Linked DNA regions of Callithrix jacchus. The protein of the gene in region 4 purifies or fractionates together with the protein of the main gene of each other region. This does not show direct contact. Links are inferred from orthologs where the notes say so. Each region holds a gene or a part of one and is shown on either strand. Other genes may lie near its edges. The genes, in order: MKI67, FXR1, YBX1, G3BP1, TARDBP, FXR2 and TRIM21.

Region 1 (4,196 bases), on a different chromosome or scaffold from region 4:
GCTTTGGCAAAGCAGCAGAAGAGACAATTCCCAAACCTGCACAAACTAATAATCCGAAGAACCATTAGGTTCCTGGAGTCTTCGGCATTCCTGTTCTAACCTGTGATCTTAAAAATGTGAACAAACTGGGGCCAGGCACGGTGGCTCACGCCTGTAATCCCAGCAGTTTGGGAGGCCGAGGAGGTGGATCATCTGGGGTCGGGAGTTCAAGACCAACCTGGCCAACATGGTGAAACCCTGTCTCTACTAAAAATACAAAAATTAGCCAGGCATAGTGGCTCACGCCTGAATCCTAACCACTCAGAAGGCTAAGGCACAAGAATTGCTTGAACCTGGGAAGTAGAGGTTGCAGTGAGCATAGATCATGCCATTGCACTCCAGCCTGGGTGACAGAGCAAGACTCTGTCTCCAAAACAAACAAAAAATATAAAAATAAAAATAAAAATTGAACAAAGTGTGCAAGGCCTGTCTGTTCTCCTTTAGAGTCTAACAATACCTCTTCCTACCCATGTTATGTGACCAAACGCGAATTAGTTTCTAAATTACAAAATCTTGTGTGAAAATATATTCAAGTACTACTGTAAAAAAGCAAAGGAACTGCCACCTAAAATGAAATGTTTATATTTTTCCTTTTCAAAAGAAAGGTATCTATGAAAAGTGAAAAGCTTCTTTAACCCCAATAAGATAATTTGATTTTAAGGTAACAGAACATCTGAGCAACGGAGAGACTATCCCTTACAACTGAGAATTTGTCTAGGAGGAAGACGCCTGTAGATGAGTGTTTCTGAGCCATGGCACTGCTGACATCTTGGGTCAGATGCTTCTGTATTGTGGGGGCTGCCCTGAGCCTGGTAGGATCCCCACCCTGACCCCTCCTCCGTGATGACAGCACATGCTCCCCTCCCCTGTATTGTGACATGGAAATTCTCCAGATTTTAGCAAATGACTTGTGGAAGGTAAGATAACCCTCCTGTGAGAACCACTGCTATCAAGTGATCGCAAATCCGTGGCGCTAGCCCGTGTTTCTACTGACCCTTGCCAGAATGCTAAGCAGAGATCCCCTATACCAGGCACCATCCCTGGCCCTGCACACATGATTAGTAACAAGATAGTCCTTTTCTTTGGGGAGCTCAGTCTAGTGGGAGACAAAACCCCACAACTTACCCCTGAAGCCATGGGGTTGGAAATACAAGCTTTCATGCAAGGCTTCTTCAGAGGCGATATTTAACCTGATGCCTGAATGATGGAAATCACACAAGGTTGGGGAAAGGGAGAACTTTCCCATGATAAACTTCCAAGTGTGTAAAAAGTACCAAGGTGAACAGGGCTTGGAATGCCTTAGGTGGGAGGAACAAGGTAGGGGATGGGGTCTGGAGGATGGGGTGAGGCGAGGATAGGAGTCAGGACCCAGACCACATAGGGAGTGACCCCTTCTCGGGCCTCTAGTGGGACATATGTCAGAGGCTGACAGGGGCACTGTTAGCAACAGTGCCTGTTTGTTATACAGGAACAGGGTTATTCAAACGGGACAGCAACGTAAGAGGAAAGGTTCTCAAATGCCAGGCAGGAAGACTTTCTGTCCCGTTTTCCTATCGCCCAAAAGAGCCAAGAGCCTTCATTCTCTCAGTGTCCCATGTGGCCAGGGATGCCCACTACCGAGGGTCCCAGGGGCACACAGTGTCTTCTGACGCCCGCCTGAAGCCAGTGAGGTATGAAGACCATCTACATCTTTCTTTATCGCGGTTAGAAAACCCAGTTTTTCAATTGGCTTGATTTCTAAAACCACTTAAATATACGAACACTAGCATCAAATGTCTACTTGGCAAAACCAACAAAACACAGCTCTGTCAACTCAGTAACATGGAAGAAGCACCAAGGAAATGCGACCGCAGGACCCGATGGCAGAGCACGTTCCGGGGCCACGTACTGTGATAAAGCCATTTTCCTTTCTCGGCCAAAAACGTCCGCGCGCGCCCGCGGGACTCACCTTCCGAACAAGCAGGTGCTGAGGCTCAGGGGAAAGTGGGGACCGTCGACCCCGCTCCTTTTGATAGTAACGATGCGTCTCGTGGGCCCCATTTTCTAAACGCTAAGTTGGGTATATAACCCGCGGAGGAAGGCCAGGTACCAATAGGTCTGCCCAGAAGCAGGCTCACAACTCCTCCCTGCAAGAGAGGCGCGGATTACCGTGAGAGCAAAGGAGCTGAGAAGGGACCCGCGAGCGACCCACCAGGGCCGCGCGCCCCGTGCGCCCACCTCCGGCCGCACAGGCGCACAGCGTAGCTGGCCAGCGGGGACCCCGGCACGGTCCGACCGCAGCCCCCGGCGCCCCCAGCAAGTCCCGCGGCCGGGGTGCTGTCGCCGGCGCCTCCCGGGAGTTTCCACAGGGACGCCCTCGCCAGAGCCCAGGAGGAGCGAGCCCAGGCTGCGCGTCCCCGCAGAGCTCGGGGTGGGGATCGGCGGTCCCCGCGACTCAGCCCCCGACTCCGGACGGTTCCCAGGAGTCCCGGCCGCAGCTCACCTGGGACGATCCGGCCCGCAAGGCCGCCTGTCGAACCACCGCTCCAGTCGCACCCAAAGTCCGCCGCAGGGGGAGCGGGCGACGCGCTCACCTCGGCCCGGCCGCGGCGCCCGCCACTTGCCGCACACCCCGGGCCGCGCTCGCTCCGCCCCGGCCCGCAGCCCCCGCTGCTCCAGCCGCTGCCCCGACGGGGACCCGGTGTCCCTACAGGCGGCGTCCCCCGACGCCCGATCCTAGCGGGTGCCACCGAGTCGTCCCGCCAGCCCGGAGCTTCCTTCCGCCAGCCCCGCGCGCCCGCCCAATTCAAACGAAAACGGAGATTCAAATTCTGGCGCTAAGCGCTACGATTGAACGGGAAAGCGCGGCGCGGGACCAATAGGAAGGCCGCGAGGACGTGGGCGGGGCGGGGGGCGGGGAAACGGGGCTCCGGGGCGGGGCTGGCGCCCTAGTCCGCAGGAGAAGACCCGGTGCAGCCCGGGAGAGGGCGGCCTGCGGAGGGCTGAGACCGAGCCCGGCCCCCGGGACGGCCCGTCCGGCCACCCTTGTCTTAAAGGACCCAACACCTGGGACACTATAACGTTGCCCATGGCCAGAAGATGTAAAACTCTCAAATATTAAAAAACCTCAGGCCGGGCGCGGTGAAGCAGGAGGATTTTTGAGCTCGGGAGTTCAGAACCAGCCTGGGCCGAGAGAACCGTCTCTACAAAAAATTAGCCGGGCGTGGTGGAGCCTGTAGTTCTAGCCACTGGGAGAGCTGAGGAGGGAGGATCGCTTGAGTCCGGGCGGTCGAGGCTGCAGTGAGCTGACATCGCGCCACTGCACTCCAGCCTGGACGACAGAGCAAAAGCCCTGTCTCAAAAAATAATAACAATGAAAAAATTAAATACAAAAATTAAAAAATAAAACCTCCCTCTTCCTTCCATACATCTTAACAAATACAACCCATTATATAAAGTAGTTTCGTGTGTCTTTTCCAGCTATACGTGTATTCTCTTTTTTCAAAAGCATAGAAAAAAGATCATAACATACACGCCGTTCTAGACTTTTGTGTTCTCTGCTTTTAACTATCCTGAGGCTGTCTCCACTGAGCACATTCTCGATTTTACTCTCGTTTCGTGGCTGCAGAGCACTGGGCTTCAGGAAACCACAATGTACTTAATCCTCACTATTGCCACATATTTAGGTTTACAATGTTTTGTTATTAGAAAACATTCTTCGATTGAAATGCCTTGTGCATGCCAAGATGGGTGAACCCTAAAATAATTATACACAGGATTCTATGGGGTCTGCCTCTGTTGTGCTGGTGGGCCACCTGGGGTGAAGTGAATGGAGCCCAAACAAGCTTCTGGTGACAACCCCACCCCCACATCTCACCTCCTCCAGCTCCTCAACAAGCCTTGGAGCTTGGCTCTCTTGATCGGGAGCAGAGGTCCTCACTGTGTGGAGGGGCCCCTGAGGGTTTCCTATTCCTTTCAGGGCAGTCCATGAGATCAAAACCATGTCGGTAATGACCCTCAGTGTTACTTGCCCTTCTCATTCTCTTGCTCCCAAGAGTATGGGGTGCATTCCACAAATGCAGAAGCAGTGAGGAGACTCCCGCTGTCTCCTATTCAACCAGGTATTACAGAGATTTACAAAAATGTGAAGTAATGCACTGTTTTCATTTTGCTGTTGT
Region 2 (3,500 bases), on a different chromosome or scaffold from region 4:
CCCATTTTTTGTTATCCTAAAATCACCCCGTATCTATCATAGACTGTGCTGTGTTATTTTCCTCCCCTTGGGAATTACTTCAAAATTCGTCTACGATACAGGGTAGTACTCCATCTTATAAGTCCTCAAATGCCTAGCAAAGTGTGTAACAATTTTCCAAGCAAAAAATCTACTGCATTATTTTGAAGTTCATTTGCTAAACTCTCAGACAAGAGTGATTTCATGAAACACCTTGAAGTTCCCTATATTTAAGCTCCACAATCATTTGAGAAAAAATGCAAACAAGAGCTCTTCAGACATAAAAAGTTTTAAGTATTAAGGTGCAGGGAATAAAATGTCAACTTGAATACATCAAGTTTCTATTATTCACTCTCAATTCTTTGTTGGGAAATACAATCTCAGGAAAGGGACTTTATCTCCCCTAACATTTATTTCTCCAAATGACAAAAAGCACTTTATTAACATAGAAGTTGCAATGAAGGCAATTTATCTTTCCTTGAAGAGTGAAAAAAACCTTTGGAATGTTTAAGAACTTCTGAATTTATTTACAAACCTATACCCTACCTGAAAACATTACCAAAATTCAGGGCAAATCAAGAATACTTAATTTTGAAGATTCTCTCAAAAATTCCTATTCAAGTAACCTTAGAAATCTAGTCTACTATTTATCTAACCCAGTGTCACAGCAAAGAAAGTCTTCCTTAAATTTAACCTATATATAGAATTCAAGATACTCAGAAGAAATGTCTAAATAATAGATTTCAACAGTTAACTGTTAATTAAGGCCAAACCACCCCCAAAGTTTTAATGAATTGGCTACTGATCAAGATTATTAAAAACTCTTAATAACTCATATTAAATGTTTCTGGGATAGCAAAAAGGACTCTGCAAATGTGACTAGGGTTAAAGACCGTGAAAGAGAGAAATTATCCTGGACTATCCAGGTGGGTTCAAACTAATCTCACTGGCTCCTTCAAAGTAGAGAAACTTTCTCAACTTCAGAAAAGGGAAATCTCTGCCCAGACCTTCCAGAAATGAATGTACCCCAGCTGACAGGACTTTAGCCTAGTGAAACCCATCTCAGCCTTCTGACCAACAGAGAACTATATAAGGCAATAAATGTCTGTGGTTCAAGCCTACAAGTTTGTGGTAATTTATTACTGCAATTAAAGTGAATAAGGAAACCAGTGAAACCATTTATTCTAATCCCTCAATTTTATAAAATACAAGTTGGTGATTCAAAGTCTTTTTAAACAAGTTTAAAAGTAACGACACTAATTTAATTTTAAATGTCTCCATGACATCGTGTTTTTAATCAATTTTAATATCATATTTTCACCTCAAACTTCTAAATTCACCTTATCATGAGATGGTATACATCAATTTCAATTGTTTTTTGTGCTAGGCTTAACAGCTAAAAAATAATCACATTTTATCAAATCCAAGATGACATCAATTCTAAGATATTATTTTACATGCCATTAAAAAAGAGAAAATACTGCTAATTAAAGTTGTAAGATGTCCAATTTAACAGACATAACAACTTCAGAGATGTTACACTGGGAAATGTTTTTAACAGTTCCTATTAAACTGATGAACTATAGTACTCGTTATATTACATATATATATATATATATATATATATATAAATCACCTAAAAGTCCCTCTGATATAAAGTATACATGAACATCTACAACCACATTCAAATGTTTTTTCAAGCCCACTCAGGTTAAATAACTATTTCAAGAAATAAAATGGTATTAATTCTGCAATGATTCAGAGCTAAGAGTGCCATCTACTGAAGAATTTGCATAGCTTTCTTAAATCCAGATGATGTTTTTCTACCTCTCATATAAATTCATTATCTAATCTCAACAAAAGCATTTTGCCAGAGTAAGCTCTCATCAATAAGCAGAATTCCCAGAGGCTAATAAAATTCTTCAATGAATTCATCATATTCATCATCCAATAAGCCAAATCTAATTATGCTAATAATATGTATGCTTCAAAAATCAATGAAAATATAATTTCTGTGTGATTACTGGTTAACCGTGTTTTGCATTAAATATATTTTCAGGAATATAGTAATAGTTTGCAATTTTCGGTCCCTTATATGCTGACCATTTCTTTATTAGAATTTTGCTTTTTACGTTTCAATACAGCATTAAATAAAAATATATATGTAAGAAAATGAGAATATAAAAATACGATATTAACAGAAAGGGACACCAACTTACAACTCTACAACAAATGAAAGATAGTTCAAGCTCACTGTAATTTTTACAGTATTAGATTATCCTTCAATTAATCACGAAATTTGCATTTATCGCTATTTTCCTTAAATGCCTTACATTTTTAAAAAGGATTTATAAAGTATTTCCTCAAAAGAAAGTAAGTACAAGAGTGAAGAAAAGGAACGGAAAAGAGAAAAGAAAATGGGTGAAGGCAAAAAACAAATCAGGCACTGCTAAGATCCAAGTCCGAATGGAGAAAAACGGAACAACTCCAAAGCTGAAGAAGAATAAGGGAGAATTGAGGATTAGAGAATTGTAGACTATCACCACTCCACTGTCCTCTTCCTACTTGGGTTATAACGACCCAATCCTCACAGTGAAATACATTTTAGAAAATGTTCATTTATAAAGTATTAAATTAGATTCTGGCTTTTAAAGCCTTCATTTTAGTAAAATGTTATTATACAAAATAATTCCAAATACGAGATGTTAATATATTGAAACATACCAAATGAGTCAATAAAGTATTTTTTAAAAGCTAGTAAAGACTTGCTATATGCAACCTTGGCACTGATTCACATACTTTTCATTTTTTATTTTAAGAGGGTAGACAAAGATGATTCCTAAAAGTATCACCACCATTACTAGGTATTTACTTGGAAAGGTATAAAACTATACTAGCAAAATATTTGAAAACCAAGTTACATACGTATTCTTTCTAAATATTTATAATAAACATAATTATGAACTACCAACTTAAAAACATACTTTGCTTCATTACATAACTACTTGGAAATTTTATGTATTTTACTGTCATTTTAATGTATACCATCACCACTTTACTAAGAAATGTACTAAACCTCCAGAACTACCTTCTACCCTCAAAGCCAAGATAGAGTAATGAATTATAAGAAAATGTGTTAGAGCACCTAAACTATAACTACTATTACTACTACTACTATTACCAAAAAAAGAAATAAAACAAAACAAAAAAAGGTTTTTTTTACCATAACCGGAGGTGTAATTAGGGCCCCGACGACCTCTGCCTCTTCCACTATAAGACCTAGAACCTTGTACAGAAGAGACGGTACTTTCATCAGTGGCATATCCTTTCTCTTTTTCAGGCCCTCTGGTGGAAGAAGGTCTGAAACCCATACCAATCTGTCGTAGCTGTTCATCAATCTGTAGGCGTTCCATTCTTAGCTGTTCTACTTCCTACAATCAAAACAAAAAAGAGTTGAACGTGACTTTTTGTCTTCTTAAAGC
Region 3 (2,963 bases), on a different chromosome or scaffold from region 4:
ACCTCCATGTTCTTAAGCAGCTTTCCCATGGGTTTTTGTATTATTTATTCCCATTTCTAGGACATAAGGAGCTGAACCAGTATTTGGTGACCACATCAGGCCCTGTAACAGGTTCTCTGAACACTTTAAGTTGGCATCTTCAATTGGCATATTGAAATAAATTCTCCCTAGGTGACAAAACTAAGTGGAGAAGGATCAGAATCTGGCCAGTCTAGACTAGAGCATCCCTTGTAAGCACTGCCACACAGCCAAAGGAACCCACACAAAATCTACACCACAAAGTCTTCCTTAAAAATGGCCAGGTTATCAGAATATGTATTTTCTAATTTTCAGTATGAACCCACAGGCATGCCACTTAAAAGGATTAGAGATTTTAAAGACATTTTACCTGAGGGAATTACCAGTGAGCATCATCTATTTGTAGACTGGGCTAAGGGTCTTATAAATACCTAAGAACTTATAAACTAAAGCAAAACTAGACAGAAATTTACACAAAGACAATTATTTAAGACCTTTATTAACAGGTGCTTGCAGTTTGTTGACTTTTTTGAAAAAATCAAGTTGTAAACTTTTATTACAAATTAAAAATGAAGTTCTTAAAAATCTCAACTTGACCAGATATGAAACAATTTAAAAACCTTTAAAGGCGTATTGAGAAAAACCAGGCTTTTTTAAAAAACACGTTTGTTATTACCAAAAAGAGACATCTTTAGGTAAAAATAATAAAAACCCCATGCTGCATAGATAATGCAGATAGTTCTATTTATCTGGTCAACAGGCAAAAGCAAGCACTTAAGGTCTTCAGCTCCAATCTTTTGTTCATTTCTTATTGCTGGAATTTCTTATTTCTTCTTGTTGGATGACTAAACTGTAAAGAAAAAAAACAAAGATGATCATGTAGAATTCATGGTAATCTTCATTTAATGTAGTACATACTCTAGTTTACATTACTTATATATTGGGAGACATTAACAGATCTTTTGCCACCTAGCAAATCATCTCTGGTTGAATGCTAATTTCGGAGGGAACGACAATCATACACCTCTCAGTATCATGCAAAAAGCTGAATGAAAATGAATCCCTTAATTTTGAAATTTAAGGTTAACAAAAACAAGTGAGCTGGTAACAAGAACGTAAATGTATCATGTGGTCTGCCAGAGCATTATTATTATTAACCTACAGTTTGAATAAACCAACAAAAAACAACTACAGATGATTACAGTGGCTCATGCCTGTAGTCCCAGCACTGGGAGGCCGAGATGGGTGGATTACCTGAGGTCAGGAGTTCAAGACCAGCCTGACCAACATGGAGAAACCCCATCTCTAGTAAAAATACAAAAAATGGGCCGGGTGCGGTGGCTCACGCCGCACTTTGAGAGGCCGAGGTGGATCACGAGGTCAAGAGATCGAGACCATCCTGGTCAACAAGGTGAAACCCCGTCTCTACTAAAAATACAAAACATTAGCTGGGCATGGTGGCGCATGCCTGTAGTCCCAGCTACTTGGGAGTCTGAGGCAGGAGAATTGCTTGAACCCAGAAGGCGGAGGTTGCGGTGAGCCGAGATTGTGCCATTGCACTCCAGTCTGGGTGACAACAGCGAAACTCCGACTCAAAAAAAAAAAAAAAAAAAAAAAAAAAAAATACAAAAAATACAAAAAATTAGCTGGGCGTGGTGGCTTATGCCTGTCACCCCAGCTACTCAGACAACTGAGGCAGGAGAATCACTTGAACCCAGGAGGCGGAGGTTGCAGTGAGCTGAGATCACACCATTGCATTCCTGCCTGGACAAGAGTGAAACTCCAGTCTCAAAAAAAAAAAAAAAAAGATTTTATCCATGTTGCCACTTTACCCAAACAGACTCTGTCACTGTATAGGTTCATTCTAATAGCTATACTACTTCTTTTATTAAATAATGCATAAATAACAATGTTAATTAACTTTTCTCAGAATACAGCTAGGGAAACTTTTCTCAGCTTACTGGTCAAATCACAAAGTTCAGAAAAGTTGATAGAAAGCTCCAATAGTTCAAAAAACTCATGAAAATACAGGTCTCCAGTGTCAGAATTGAGAACTAGCTGAGGGGTGGCCAAATATGATTCTGATACTCAATACTCCTAAAATGAAATATTTAGGTAATTAAGAATAGGGCAGAACACAATGTAAATAACATGGCTTTCGTTATCTGATAGAATTGAGTTTTCCCCACTCTTGCATTAATAAAATGAAATGGACACCATTCATGACTGCCATAAATGGTGGCCATCCAGGGTTGCTTACCCGGATGATGGTAGAGATGGTAAGCCGGCATTTACTCAGCCCCGCCCTGCTCAGCCTCGGGAGCGGACGAATTCTCAGCTGGTGGATCGGCTGCTTTTGTCTCTTTGCCATCTTGTGGTTTAGGGTTTTCTGGGCGTCTGCGTCGGTAATTGAAGTTGCGGCGGTACCGACGTTGAGGTGGCTGCTGACCTTGGGTCTCATCTCCTTGATTTTCTTTATCCTCTTCATTGCCGTCCTCTCTAGGCTGTCTTTGGCGAGGAGGGCCCCTGCAATAAATGTTGTCAAACTTAAGAATGATAAAACCTCTTCTCTTCAACACACCCACCAGCAGTGTTACCATTTGGTTCACTCAACTAATTCATCATGCCTAGCCTGTTCTCTGTATCAAGTGGCCTGTAGGCAATTTGTGTAAGGAGATGGGAGTATAAACTGGAAGATGACTTTTAAAAACTGGTTTTAATGGACTAGCAAACTTTTTTGTTCATAGCATTACAGAATGAATCCTGAAATAGCTAATAGTAGGCAAATGCCATCAACATTTTGCTGTCATTCTAAAAGATCAAAATGGGCTAAGTGGTAAACAAATTTGTAAACAGTATAACCTTTACAGATGAACAATTCCTAAAAAGGCATGTGTTTAAAATCCAGCCTGTTCAAAACCAAACATGTTCCCTTCATAAAAGTA
Region 4 (2,767 bases):
GCCTGTTAACTGCATTGGCTCTGTTAGGAGGAAAAGAAGACCAAGACTATTCGAAATTCTTAGAAGGTGAACAGCAAGTTAAAGTTTGTCAAATCAATGAAGGTTTTATTTGAAATGTATATGTACTTTGCATAAATATGTGCAGTGCCATCTTTTCACATTGGTGATGATGCAGTTTTATTCTAGGCCTCCACCATCTGTGGAGAAGGTGGCAATTCTTTATTCAATTTACGTAATTCTATGAGAAAACAAGTACTTGGGAGGCTGGGGCAGGGAGAAGTGTTTGAACCCGGGAGGTGGAAGTTGTAGTGAGCGGAGATCTTGCTCACTTCAGCCTGGGTGATAGGCAAAACTTCATCTCATTAAAAAAAACAAACAAAGCGGAACTGTGAGAACTCAGTTGATGTATAATCTGCTGGTTCTTTTTTTTTTTTTTTAAGGAGACGGAGTCTCGCTCTGTTGCCCAGGCTGGAGTGCAGTGGTGCGATCTCAGCTCGCTGCAACCTCCACCTCCTGGGTTCAAGCAATTCTCCTGCCTTAGCCTCCTGGGTAGCTGGGAATACAGACATGTGCCACCATGCCTGGCTAATTTTTGTATTTTTTTAGTAGAGACAGGGTTTCATCATGTTGGTCAGGCTAGTCTCAAACTCCTGACCTCGTGATCCTCCCACCTTGGCCTTCCCAAATGCTGAGATTTACAGGCGTGAGCCACCGCCCCTGACCGCTGCTGTTTTGTTTTGTTTTTTTTATAGCTTTTTTAATCCTCTGTTGTCATAGCCAGCTTATCAGTACTCTAAGTCTGGTCACCTTGATTCTTACAGCCCATCATGTTCAGAGGTGAGGTTCGTCTGAACGTGGAAGAGAAGAAGACTCGAGCTGCCAGGGAGGGGGACCGACGAGATAATCGCCTTCGGGGACCTGGAGGCCCTCGAGGTGGGCTGGGTGGTGGAATGAGAGGCCCTCCCCGTGGAGGCATGGTGCAGAAACCAGGATTTGGAGTGGGAAGGGGGCTTGCTCCACGGCAGTGAATCTTCATGTATCTTCACGGAGCCATACGAACCCTAGTTCCTACAGAATGGTGAATTTCTTCGACCAGCCTTTGGTATCTTGGAGTATGACCCCAGTCTGTTATAAACTGCATAAGTTTGTATAATTTTACTTTTTTTGTGTGTTAATGGTGTGTGATCCCTCTCTCCTTCTCTTCCCTTTCCTGCCCTTTAGTCTTTCACTTCCAATTTTGTGGAATGATATTTTAGGAGTAACAGATTTTTAAAGAAGAAAAAAAGAAAAGGACTGAATTTCCTTGCTTACTTTGCATATGCAGACTGGACTTTTTTTTTTTTTTTAACAGCCATTTCCCCAAAGGAATGTGTCTTGCATATTACTGACATTTGGTATGTTTCATTCATTGGAATATTTCTTATTTTCTACAAGTTTCAAAAGCCTGTGAGACAAACAGGATTTGATAACATTTTGAAGGCAGGAAAAACCCAAATTGTTTCTTCTTTGAGAGTCATGGCTTCTTTCTGGTGTGGAGAAATTGCCATTGGAAAATTTGACAGTTTTGATTCTCACTGGTATGTTTAAAAGGAATAGAATTTTCTTTTGATAGAGGATCACAAAACAATTCTAAAACCTACTGTTTTTACCACTGAAATTTAAATTGTGATATATAGGTTTTAAATGTCTAGAATGCAGCTGATAGGCTTTTCATGAACTTAGTTTTTTTGAAATAGAGTTTTTTTTCATGTTTAATTTGTATTTGTAAAAAAAACAAAAAACAAAAAAATTCCCCAAATCCAGATAACAACCAGAGCAAAACTGTTGTGCCTTCTATTTATCTTTGATTTCAGTCTTGGCAGTTGTTTAAAGAAAAATAATTAAAAAAAAAATCTAGATTTGTTTATTATTAGGTTCAGAGTATGTGGGGAATTGTAGAATCCCTCTTTCATCAACTTACATGTCTTCTGTTAACCTATTTGTTATGCCTTATTCTAAAATTGAGTCTCAAACTGGAATGCCTTTGAAGACAGATGCTTCTATAGAGGTTCTTTGGCCTAAGTAGTTCAGCATTTGTATTAAGTTTTATTTTGGTATCTAATCAGATTCCTAATCATAGCCCATAAGAAGGAATGTGACTTTAATATTGGACTTTGCTGATGTGCTCGTGTAAATTTTCTATTTTGTTATGGTTCTCTTATTGATGGGCATGCAGTGGGTGTTTCTTGGAAATGGCCAATTTTTATTAAAATATTTCTGGAAGAAAATTTAATCTGGCAATATAGACTAATACTCGTTTCACATATGTGTTGTTTGTTGAGTGCTGTGTGTGAGATGGGTGAAGATTTTGTTTACAAGTGTGAAGCAAGCCTTTGTGTGATTACTTGTCATTACTAATTGAAGGGCAACCAGGTTGTCAAAGTCACTTATTTATTTTCTTAACAGTATTCATCTTGAGGACTGTCATTTGAGGATAGTATAGGAATATTTGCATTATTGAGAAACTCTAGGTTTGCTCTGAAGGGGTCAGTTAAGACTGAGAAACTCTAGGTTTGCTGTGAAGGGGTCAGTTAAGACTACAGTGAAGTTGGTGTTACTAGTTTGGTTCCACTTCCTCAAATATTTGAAAATTGGCAGCATCTCCTTTACATAAACATAACTGAATCACATGGCTTTTCTGGAGGGTTAGTTTAAGTAACTTTGGTAACCACTTTGACCCAGATCAGTGATAATAGGAAGAAATACAACTTGTACTTTTGTAGCTTAT
Region 5 (3,500 bases), on a different chromosome or scaffold from region 4:
TTTTGATATCAATTGTAGTGTGTTGGTTTACCAATCAGGCAAACAACAGTTCACTTTCAACCACTCAATATTTCAACCTTTCATGTAACAAAACTTAGAAAATTCCTTTAGCTCTTCCTTTTTTAAAAGAAAAACGTCAAAAATACTGCTGAATATACTCCACACTGAACAAACCAATTTTGAAAATTCTTAGTACATGTATTTTACAATATACTTACCAGTGAGTTTAGAAAAATCTGAATTCCCACCATTCTATACCAACCAACCACAAACTGTCTACATTCCCCAGCCAGAAGACTTAGAATCCATGCTTGAGCCAAAGCCTCCATTAAAACCACTACCCGACCCTGCATTTGATGCTGATCCCCAACCAATTGCTGCACCAGAATTAGAACCACTATAAGAGTTATTTCCAGAACCAAAGGCCTGGTTTGGCTCCCTCTGCATGTTGCCTTGGCTTTGGTTATTACCCGATGGGCCTGACTGGTTCTGCTGGCTGGCTAACATGCCCATCATACCCCAACTGCTCTGTAGCGCTGCCTGGGCTGCAGCCATCATGGCTGGATTAATGCTGAATGCGCCAAAGTTCATCCCACCACCCATATTACTACCTTGATTGTTTCCCAAACCAGCTCCACCCCCTCTACTATTACCAAATCCACCCTGATTCCCAAAGCCACCTGGATTACCACCAAATCTTCCACTTCTTTCTAACTGTCTATTGCTATTGTGCTTAGGTTCGGCATTGGATATGTGAACGCTGATTCCTTTAATGATCAAGTCCTCGCCACAAAGAGATTGCGCAATCTACAAGAAATAAGGGATGTAAACAAATAAGATTAAACCACTGATTTATACATCAAAGTAGCAACAAAACTTAGATTACAAGCATTAACTAAAGCCAGAGGAAAAATAAGCAATGAATGCTCATTTTGTTTAACCCCACAATACAGCTTTAGTTTTAGTAATAGCAGCAGTGATATTTCAGTCTATTTTCAAAAGACATAGGCTCGGCATGGTGGCTCATGCCTGTAATCCTAGTGCTTTGGGAGGCCAAGGTGGGAGGACTGTGTGAAGCCAAGAGTTTAAGACTCGTCTGACAGCCTGGGCAACACAGTGAGACCCCACCTCTATTAAAGACAAAAACCCTGCAAAAAAACCACACTAGCTGGGCATGGTGGCATGCACCTGTTCTAGCTACTTGGGAGGCTGAAGTTGGAGGATTCTCTTCCTGGAGGCTGAGCCCAGGAGTTCTAGGGTGCAGTGAGCTCTGATTACACCACTGCATTCCACCAGCCTAGGCAACAGAGTGAGACCCTGTATAAAAAAAAAAAAAGGGTGTGTGTGGGGGCTCTCACCTGTAATCCCAGCACTTTGGGAGGCTGAGGCAGGCGGATCACCTGAGGTTAGGAGTTCAAACCAGCCAGATCAAAATGGTGAAACTCCATCTCTGGGCGTGGTGGTACATGCCGTTAATCCCAGCTACTTAGAAGGGTGAGGCAGGAAAATCACTTGAACCCAGGAGGCAGAGGTTACAGTGAGCTGAGATCACACCACTGCACTCTAGCCTGGGCAACAAGAGCAAAACTCTGTCTCAAAAAAAAAATATTTAACATTCCCAAATGCCATATACTGAAAATTATCTAAAGGTTGATTTACTTTTAGAAATTTCTTAAAAATGTTGTATTTGTAGCCGGGCATGGTGGCTCACATCAGTAATGCCAGCATTTTGGGAGGCCAGGGAGGGTGGATCACTAGGCCAGGAGTTCAAAGACCAGCCTGACCAATATGGTGAAACCCCACCTGTACTAAAAACACAAAAATTAGCCAGGCATGGTGATGTACATCTATAGTCCCAGCTACTCAGGAGGCTGAGGCAGGAGAATTGCTTGAACCTGGGAGGCGGAGACTGCAGTAAGAGAAGTGCCACTGCACTCCAGCCTAGGCAACAGAGCAAGACTCCATCTCAAAAAACAAAAAAGTTGGGGCGGGGGGAACATCTAGGCCCATACACTCTACATCTTATAAGGTGAAAAAACTTAGCTAAGAACAGCAATTAGCTGGATGGGAAATGTTCAAGAGAAATTACCTAATTACCTGGCCCATATTGTTAAGGAGAAAAATACCTGATCATCTGCAAATGTTACAAAGGCAAAGGCCCTGAACGGCTTGGGGATGAAGACATCCATCACCTCCCCGTACTGGGAGAAGAACTGCCGCAGCTCGTCCTCAGTCATGTCCTCTGTACAGCGCCCCACAAACACTTTTCTGCTTCTCAAAGGCTCATCTGCACTTTGCTGGTCAAATCAAAAGGAAGGAAAAAACTCAAATATAAACAATGAAAAAAGCATTAAGGTAAGGGATATAACAAAATCTTTCTGCCTTGGATAGTAGTGAGTTATTAAAAAGGGACATACTCTTAATTTTTTTGCATCAACATTTCTTTTTCTTGTAAGGCTTCAATAAAGAGTAACATTTTAAGTTACAAACGTACACAGTCATGCATCACATAATGATGGAAATATGTTCTGAGAAATGAATCATGAGTCGTTATACCATTTCATCACTGTGGCCAGGTGTGGTGGCTCATGCCTGTAATCCCAGAACTTTGAGAGTGAGGTGGGTAGATCACCTAAGGTTATGAGTTCAAGACCAACCCCACCTAGTCAACATGGCAAAACCCCATCTCTACTAACAATACAAAAATTAGCTGGGTGTGGTGTCGGGCGCCTTTACGTAATCCCAGTGACTTGGGAAGTTGTGGCAGGAGAATCGCTTGAACCTGGGCAGGGGAGGTTGCAGTGAACTGAGACTGCACCATTACACTCCAGCCTGGGCAACAACTCCATCTCAAAAAAATTAAAAAAAATAAAAATAAAAACTTCATCATTGTGCAAACATCATATAAAACCAGATAGCTTCTACATTGCTGATAGCCATTACTGGAGATAAAGAAAAAGAAAAAAGAAAGAAAGCCAGATAGCATAGCCACCCCACATCTAGGCTGGATGGTATAGCCTACTGCGCCTAGGCCACAAACTTCCAAGTTACTATACTCAACACTGCAGGCAACTGTAACCCCATAGTAAGTACGTGTATATCTAAACATGGAAAGGGGACAGTAAAAACAGTGTTATAATCTTACGGGACCTCTACTGTACACTTGGTCCACTGCTGACTGATGAATTTTGCAATGTGATGCATGACTGTATTTGGATTTGAGAAAATCAATAAATGACCAATCTCCTGGCAAAGATGATGATGTGCCAAATAAGCAGATGTTACTTGTTTGCTTGGACAAAGTTAGATTTTATAACAAGATTAATATATATATATATATTCTGATTGTCTTCATGTTTTAACATATAACTATGTAAGGAAACTTAACTTGACAAATAACCTTTTCTCTTTCACATCCATAACAAAAAGAACAAAATGAACAAAGCTTTAGTTTGAAGAAGTAATAAACTAAATATCTGCAACAAGCATAAAATATTCAG
Region 6 (2,270 bases), on a different chromosome or scaffold from region 4:
GCTGGAGAAAAAGCTTAGAGCCAGATCAGAACACCAGCAAGGAAAGAAGGCTGGACACCAGGCTTTCAGAGGCTGCTGTGAGGGAACCCTGCTCCCCTCTTGCCAAGGCCCAGCCCAAGCCCCAGGCTTCAGGTAATCGGATTAAGCAGCCTGCCTTGGCTCCCAGCTTCTAGCAGGAACAGCTCCAGCTCTGAGCAGCCCTGCCTAGCCTGTGCCATGACTCAGGGTATAGGAGTGGCCCAACTCCCTCTACCAGCAAACTTGGGGGAGGAGAGAAGCAATAAGGCACAAGACCCCCTCCCCTCTGGACCAGGAGCGAGTACCTGGACCTGGGGAGTTTAAGAATGTCAGAAATTCCCAGAAGACAGACCATCTTTGGGACAAGAGACAATGAGAAATCAGGTATGGAGGAAAAGAAAATGAGCCAGGGGCTAGGGCAGGTCAGTCCTAAAGAAACAGATGGACCAAACTGGGGACAAAGGCGGCACAGGAGCCACAGAGCCATTTGGATTTTTTTATTCTCTTTTTAAATACTGTACAGTGAAAAATAAATACGCCTTCTCATCCACCAGACAAGGTCGGTCCCCTCCCCCTGGGGACCTTGTCACCCCCCTTCATATACACCCCTGGTTCTACTCCAAAACCTTCCCCGTGCCTCCCACCCACTTATCTCTTACTATCCCCGTCTTCCACAGTGATGAGGCCCCAGAAATGGGGGGTACAGGATGGGAGGAGGGATAGCAGGGGAGGCCCCCTGAACGGTCAAATCTGGGTGGGTCAAGGAGCACCCCCCCACCAACAGGTGGAGAATGGGGGTGTTCAGAGAGAGATTGGGGCATTAGAGGATAAAGGCACATCCAGTCTGATGGGGGAGAGAGGCTCCCCTTACCCTGGGGGTAGGGTGGACAAGAGGGAGGGGGTATGACCCTGTTACACACCCCTCCACTAGCTCCTGGAGGTTGGGGGGTACCCAAGCTGCTGTGCCACCCCCCTCCCCCCTAGATAAGAGCAGCTCCAGCGCAGGTCAGTTGGGCCTGTGAGGGCCATGGTGTTGGGCAGCAAGCGAGATGGAGAAGGGAGGGATGCAGGCTGGAGGTTTTATGAAACCCCATTCACCATACTACCCAACTCCAAGGGGGCAGAGAGCTCCCCATTCTCCGAGGGGCCCTTAGGAAGCTTGCTGACAGAGTCACCCTGAGAAGCAAGTGGGAAAGAAAACAAAATCAAGCACACGGTGAGCAGAAACTCAGGTGAGGGACATTTCCTACCATCCAAGCACTCCTGGCATCTGGTGATCCAGAGGTTGGTTCCTTGATCCCATGATCCAGTCTCTCTTACTTGGGATCCAGAAAATGTGAACTACATAATCCTCTCTATCCCATTCGAAGTTGACACTATTCTAAACTCCATCAGACACAACTGCCTCTGCAATTCAGTAACAGATTTCTTTTTTCTTTTGAGACAGAGTTTCGCTCTTGTTGTCCAGGCTGGAGTGCAATGGCGCAATCTCAGCTCACAGCACCCACTGCCTCCCTGGTTCAAGCCATTTTCCTGCCTCATCCTCCCAAGTAGCTGGGATTATAGCCATGCACCACCACACCCAGCTAATTTAGTATTTTTTAGTAGAGACAGGGTTTCTCCATGTTGGTCAGGCTGATCTCGAACTCACACCCTCAGGTGATCCACCCGCCTCAGCCTCCCAAAGTGCTGTGATTACAGGCGTGAGCCACCACCCCCAGCCTCGGTAAATTTCTTTGTGAAATTTTGTGCACCCCCTGCCCCATAATAATAAAAAAAAATGATAGAGTAAACCACATCTTGCCTGCCTACCTTCTGTCCTGAAAGAGAGTCCTCTGAGGGTTTAGTGCGTTCCAGGGGTGGCCGCTGGCGGCTCTGAGACTCTGCTCGTGAGATATAGTCAGCCACAGTCACTAGGGAAGGCAGGACATTAAGACTTTGAGATAGTTTGCCATGAAAATTACAAAAGAAAAAAAAAAGATGGAATTCTGGTAGCCAGCCCAAGATACCCACTGAACCCGAACCCCTGATTTTCACAGGGTAGGAAGTATCCCATTCTCTCAGCTCTGAGGAAGAATTCTGGTGTCCAAAGTTGGCTGACCTGGTTGGCGGTCTCCACTGATAGAACCATCAGTCCGATTACCACGGTTACGGCGGCGGCGGCTGCGATTACGACGTTGGGGTCTTGATTCGTCTTCTGTAGGGTAGGGAAAAACCAGAGTCACACATCCAACCTCCCACCCTCAATTCTT
Region 7 (3,983 bases), on a different chromosome or scaffold from region 4:
CCACAAGCATAGGCAACCGAAGCAAAATTGGACAAATAGGATCACATCAAATTGAAAACCTGCTGCACAGCAAAGAAAATAATCCACAAAGTGAAGAGACAACCCACAGAATGGGAGTAAATATTTGCAAACTATCCATTTGACAAGGGATTAATAATCAGAATATGTAAGGAGCTCAAACAACTCTATAGGAAAAAAATGTAATAATCTGGTTCAAAAATGGACAAAAGATCTGAATAGACATTTCTCAAAAGACATACAAATGACAAACAGGCATATGAACAGTTGCTCAACATCACTGATTATCAGTAAAATGCAAATCAAAACTACAATGAGATATCTCACCTCAGTTAAAATGTCTTTTATCCAACAGGCTATAACAAATGCTGGTGAGGGTGTGGAGAAAAGGGAACCCTCATAAGCTGTTGGTGGAAATGTAAATTAGTACGATCACTACAGAGAACAGTTTGGAGGTTCTTCAAAAAACTGAAAATAGAGTTACCATATGATCCAGCAATCCCACTGCTAGGTATATACCCCTAAGAAAGGAAATCACTGTATCAAAGTGATATCTGCACACTCATGTTTATTGCAGTATGTTTCACAATAGCCAAGATTTGGTGGCAACCTAAGTGTCCATCAACAGATACATAGATAAATAAAATGTGGTACATATACAAAATGGAGTACTATTCAGCCATAAAATATGAGATCCTGTCATTTACAACAACATGAATGGAACTGGAGGTCACTACATTAAGTGGAATAAGCCAGGCACAGAAAGACAAACATTGTATGTTCTCATTTGTAGGCGCTAAAAATCAAAACAATTGAACTCATGGAGTTAGATAATAGAAAGATGGTTACCAGAGGCTGGGAAGAATAGTAGGGAGGATGTGTTGGGGGAAAAGTAGGATGGTTAATGGGTACAAAAATGGAGTGAATTAGATCTAGTATTTGATAGCATAACAGGTGGCGATAGTCAATAATTTAATTGTACATTTGAAAGAGTATAATTGCATAGTTTATCACAGATGATCAATGCTTAAGGTGCTAGATGCCCCATTTATCCTGATGTGGTTATTACACATTGTATACTTATATCAAAATATTCCATGTAGCCTATAAATATACCTACTATGTGCCCAGAAAAATTAAAACTAGAGAAAGAAAAACAAAATGATGCAAAGGAAAATAAAAAAATAAAAATGGTGGCTCTGTATACCTGTATCAAAATGTTCCATGTAGCCCATAAATATACCTACTACATGCCCAGAAAAATTAAAACTAAAAAAAGAAAAACAAAATGATGAAACGGAAAATAAAAAAATAAAAATGGTGGCTCACGCCTGTAATCCCAGCACTCTGGGAGGTCGAGGTGGGTGGATCACCTGAGGTCAGGAGTTTGAGACCAGCCTGACCAACATGGTGAAACTCTGTCTCTACTAAAAATACAAAAAATAGTTGGGAGTGGTAGTGGGTGCCTGTAATCCCAGCTACTCAGGAGGCTGAGGCAGGAGAATTGCTTGAACCTGGGAGGTGGAGGTTGCAGTGAGCTGAGTTGGTGCCACTGCACTCCAGCACAGGCAACAGAGGGAGACTCCATCTCCAAAAAAAAAAAAAAAAGGGCATAATATTAATGGAAAAATAATTAATGGCAAAAACAGTATTACTTTTGCATGGACCAAATAGTTTGTTTAATAAGTTTATTCTTCTGAATAACAAGAACTCCTCCACTGTTTGGCCCATTGATCCACTGGGACAGAAGGAGAAACTGAGTCCCTAAAGGAGGGAGTGAAAATTGGCAAGAACCTCATAAAGCTGACAGTTCTCTCATGTCCATTCCTGCTTAAACCCTCAGTGCCCATTCATCTTCTTTCTGGTACCAGCAGGCCTCCATGTTGCTGAGAAACTAGTCATAAAATAGCTACTTTTAACCATGTACCTTCCATGTGCCAGAGATACTACACATGCTTTGAATACATCTTCATTAATCATTCCAATATTGGCAAAAGTCAGGTGTATATGTATGTACATGAGCATGTATATGTGAATGTATTCACACAGAGCAACAGGAACTGTGGCCAGCACTCCCTGGGCTCTTCTTTCAGCTGCTCCAAACTTAGTTTAGTTCCTGACATCACTTCTTCTATGACAAAGAGTAATTTTGAAGGCCTATACATTTCTGGTTGAACATCCTAAGCAGCCTGCCCCTCACCTCTGGAGGACTTTTGGACCTGGGAGTCTCCAGGATTGCAGATCTCCCCCACGCTCCTGGCTAGGCAGTAGTGCTGGCTCTCTCAGCTGCACCCAGCTCTCATCCCAGCTCAGGTGCCAGCAATGGGGCAGCCAGGCCCCTTCTCTTTCTGGGTAACTCCATAGTCACGTCCACACCCCAGCCTCCTCCCAAGTAGGGGGCAGCCGGAACCCTTCCCCTTCTGGGTAACTCCGCAGTCACGTCCCACACCCCAGTCTCCTCCCAAGTGCCCGGAACCCTACCCCTTCTGGGTAACTCCGCAGCAGTCATGTCCATACCCCAGCCTCCTTCCAGGTTAGGAGACCAGCCTCGGAAGCACAGAGGGGCTTGGATTGAGGGATCCCCGGTGGGAGAAGGGGCAAATGGGACCGGCTCAAGGATGGAGACTGGTTGGAAGGGGCTCTGCAGCCCTGGGGCAGGGGAGAGGTCCACTAGGAGGGCAGGGGTTCCTTGATTTAGTGAGGTTCACTCACCTTTACAGGGGACTCAACGCGGGTAGCCAGCTCCCTATTTCACTTTCAGTTTCCGCTCAGAGGCAAGTCTGACGGGAAAGGGGAGGGAGGAGGAGCCGTGAGAGGAGAGAGGGAGGAGCCGTGGGAGGAGCGGAGCCTTGAAAGGGTGTGTGGAGAAATGCCGCTGAGAAGGAAGAGAGGTGGGAGGAGAGAAGTCAGAGTTGGGCTGGCGGGGGGCTTCAGAGGCTCTGGACAGCCAGGGGGCTTCTATGAGACTGGGAAGTAATGGAAGCCCAGTAGCCTGTGGTCCTGGGTGCGCACCCCCTCCCATGTCTTCATTATCTGATTTAGTAAAATATCTGCAAGATGGGGGAGTCCGGGCTGCTTTCTTTGACACTGGTTATCACCCCACACCTAGATGCTTTGCCCATGTCTGGAAGCTGCTTTTAAGGAGGGTTGGATGCAGAGAATAGTGGCTGGTGCTCTCCCTCACGTGCCGTCATCTGTTTCTTACTTCCAGAAGCTAATTCTTTTCATGTGACTGATGTGACTATTATTTTTTTAACATCTGCAGGTGAGTGATTTATTTCGCATGACCCCGAGGTAAGTATCCCACCAGTGAGTGGTGAGAAGGGAATTGACATCTGATAACCAACTATGTTCTTATCACCGAGCTAGGGACATTCTCAGGTTATATTAATTTTTAATCGTTAAATACACAGAATATAAAATTTACCCAAGTAATTTTGTTTTAAATTTTAAATTTTCTGTGTCTGTGGTAGATGTATGTATTTATGGGCTACATGAGATATTTTGATGCACAGGTATAGCATACGGTCTGTAATAATCACATCAGGGTAAGTGGGGGTATCCATCACCTCAAGAATTTATCACTTCTTTGTGTTACAAACAATCCAATTATATGTTTTTTAATTATTTTAAAATGTATGATAAATTGTCTGTAGTCACCCTGTTATGCTATAAAATACTAGATCTTATTCATTCTATCTCATGTATTTTGAACCCATTAATCACCCCCCTACACACTCCTGGCTACCCTTCCCAGCTTTTGGTAACCATCATTCTGCTATCTTCATGAGTTCAATTGTTCTAATTTTTAGCTCCACTTATTAGTGAGAATGTACAATTGGTTGTTTGCCTGTGTTTGGTTTATTTTATTTAACATAATGACCCCTATTTTTCATCCATGTTGTAGCAAATGAAAGGTTCTCCTTTTTATGGCTAATCAGTACTCCATTGTGTATGTGTACCAC

Evidence for each region.
Region 1: the proteins of G3BP1 (region 4) and MKI67 purify together in Homo sapiens (affinity purification with mass spectrometry; 3 studies listed by BioGRID and IntAct, with this or other methods). This does not show direct contact. The link is inferred for Callithrix jacchus from reciprocal best matches to the Homo sapiens genes G3BP1 and MKI67.
Region 2: the proteins of G3BP1 (region 4) and FXR1 purify together in Homo sapiens (affinity purification with mass spectrometry; 3 studies listed by BioGRID and IntAct, with this or other methods). This does not show direct contact. The link is inferred for Callithrix jacchus from reciprocal best matches to the Homo sapiens genes G3BP1 and FXR1.
Region 3: the proteins of G3BP1 (region 4) and YBX1 purify together in Homo sapiens (affinity purification with mass spectrometry; 3 studies listed by BioGRID and IntAct, with this or other methods). This does not show direct contact. The link is inferred for Callithrix jacchus from reciprocal best matches to the Homo sapiens genes G3BP1 and YBX1.
Region 5: the proteins of G3BP1 (region 4) and TARDBP purify together in Homo sapiens (affinity purification with mass spectrometry; 3 studies listed by BioGRID, with this or other methods). This does not show direct contact. The link is inferred for Callithrix jacchus from reciprocal best matches to the Homo sapiens genes G3BP1 and TARDBP.
Region 6: the proteins of G3BP1 (region 4) and FXR2 purify together in Homo sapiens (affinity purification with mass spectrometry; 3 studies listed by BioGRID and IntAct, with this or other methods). This does not show direct contact. The link is inferred for Callithrix jacchus from reciprocal best matches to the Homo sapiens genes G3BP1 and FXR2.
Region 7: the proteins of G3BP1 (region 4) and TRIM21 purify together in Homo sapiens (affinity purification with mass spectrometry; 3 studies listed by BioGRID, with this or other methods). This does not show direct contact. The link is inferred for Callithrix jacchus from reciprocal best matches to the Homo sapiens genes G3BP1 and TRIM21.

The regions. Positions count from the first base shown.
Region 1 is NC_133513.1:121,424,362-121,428,557, forward strand, and holds the start of MKI67 (proliferation marker protein Ki-67), read right to left. Parts: upstream 2,801-4,196; 5' UTR 2,522-2,800; intron 2,166-2,521; 5' UTR 2,080-2,165; coding exon 1,988-2,079; exon of another isoform or gene 740-1,987; intron 1-739. UniProt on the Homo sapiens protein: Protein that associates with the surface of mitotic chromosomes and acts both as a chromosome repellent during early mitosis and chromosome attractant during late mitosis.
Region 2 is NC_133516.1:9,219,982-9,223,481, reverse strand, and holds part of FXR1 (RNA-binding protein FXR1), read right to left. Parts: intron 3,450-3,500; coding exon 3,242-3,449; intron 1-3,241. UniProt on the Homo sapiens protein: mRNA-binding protein that acts as a regulator of mRNAs translation and/or stability, and which is required for various processes, such as neurogenesis, muscle development and spermatogenesis.
Region 3 is NC_133508.1:79,348,634-79,351,596, reverse strand, and holds the end of YBX1 (Y-box-binding protein 1), read right to left. Parts: intron 2,545-2,963; coding exon 2,310-2,544; 3' UTR 2,279-2,309; intron 869-2,278; 3' UTR 501-868; downstream 1-500. UniProt on the Homo sapiens protein: DNA- and RNA-binding protein involved in various processes, such as translational repression, RNA stabilization, mRNA splicing, DNA repair and transcription regulation.
Region 4 is NC_133503.1:50,740,861-50,743,627, forward strand, and holds the end of G3BP1 (ras GTPase-activating protein-binding protein 1), read left to right. Parts: intron 1-821; coding exon 822-1,028; 3' UTR 1,029-2,267; downstream 2,268-2,767. UniProt on the Homo sapiens protein: Protein involved in various processes, such as stress granule formation and innate immunity. Plays an essential role in stress granule formation.
Region 5 is NC_133508.1:48,894,193-48,897,692, reverse strand, and holds part of TARDBP (TAR DNA-binding protein 43), read right to left. Parts: intron 2,298-3,500; coding exon 2,127-2,297; intron 808-2,126; coding exon 277-807; 3' UTR 1-276. UniProt on the Homo sapiens protein: RNA-binding protein that is involved in various steps of RNA biogenesis and processing.
Region 6 is NC_133506.1:74,085,407-74,087,676, forward strand, and holds the end of FXR2 (RNA-binding protein FXR2), read right to left. Parts: intron 2,216-2,270; coding exon 2,120-2,215; intron 1,932-2,119; coding exon 1,831-1,931; intron 1,195-1,830; coding exon 1,099-1,194; 3' UTR 501-1,098; downstream 1-500. UniProt on the Homo sapiens protein: mRNA-binding protein that acts as a regulator of mRNAs translation and/or stability, and which is required for adult hippocampal neurogenesis. Specifically binds to AU-rich elements (AREs) in the 3'-UTR of target mRNAs.
Region 7 is NC_133511.1:69,716,676-69,720,658, forward strand, and holds the start of TRIM21 (E3 ubiquitin-protein ligase TRIM21), read right to left. Parts: upstream 2,801-3,983; 5' UTR 2,731-2,800; intron 423-2,730; 5' UTR 346-422; intron 1-345. UniProt on the Homo sapiens protein: E3 ubiquitin-protein ligase whose activity is dependent on E2 enzymes, UBE2D1, UBE2D2, UBE2E1 and UBE2E2.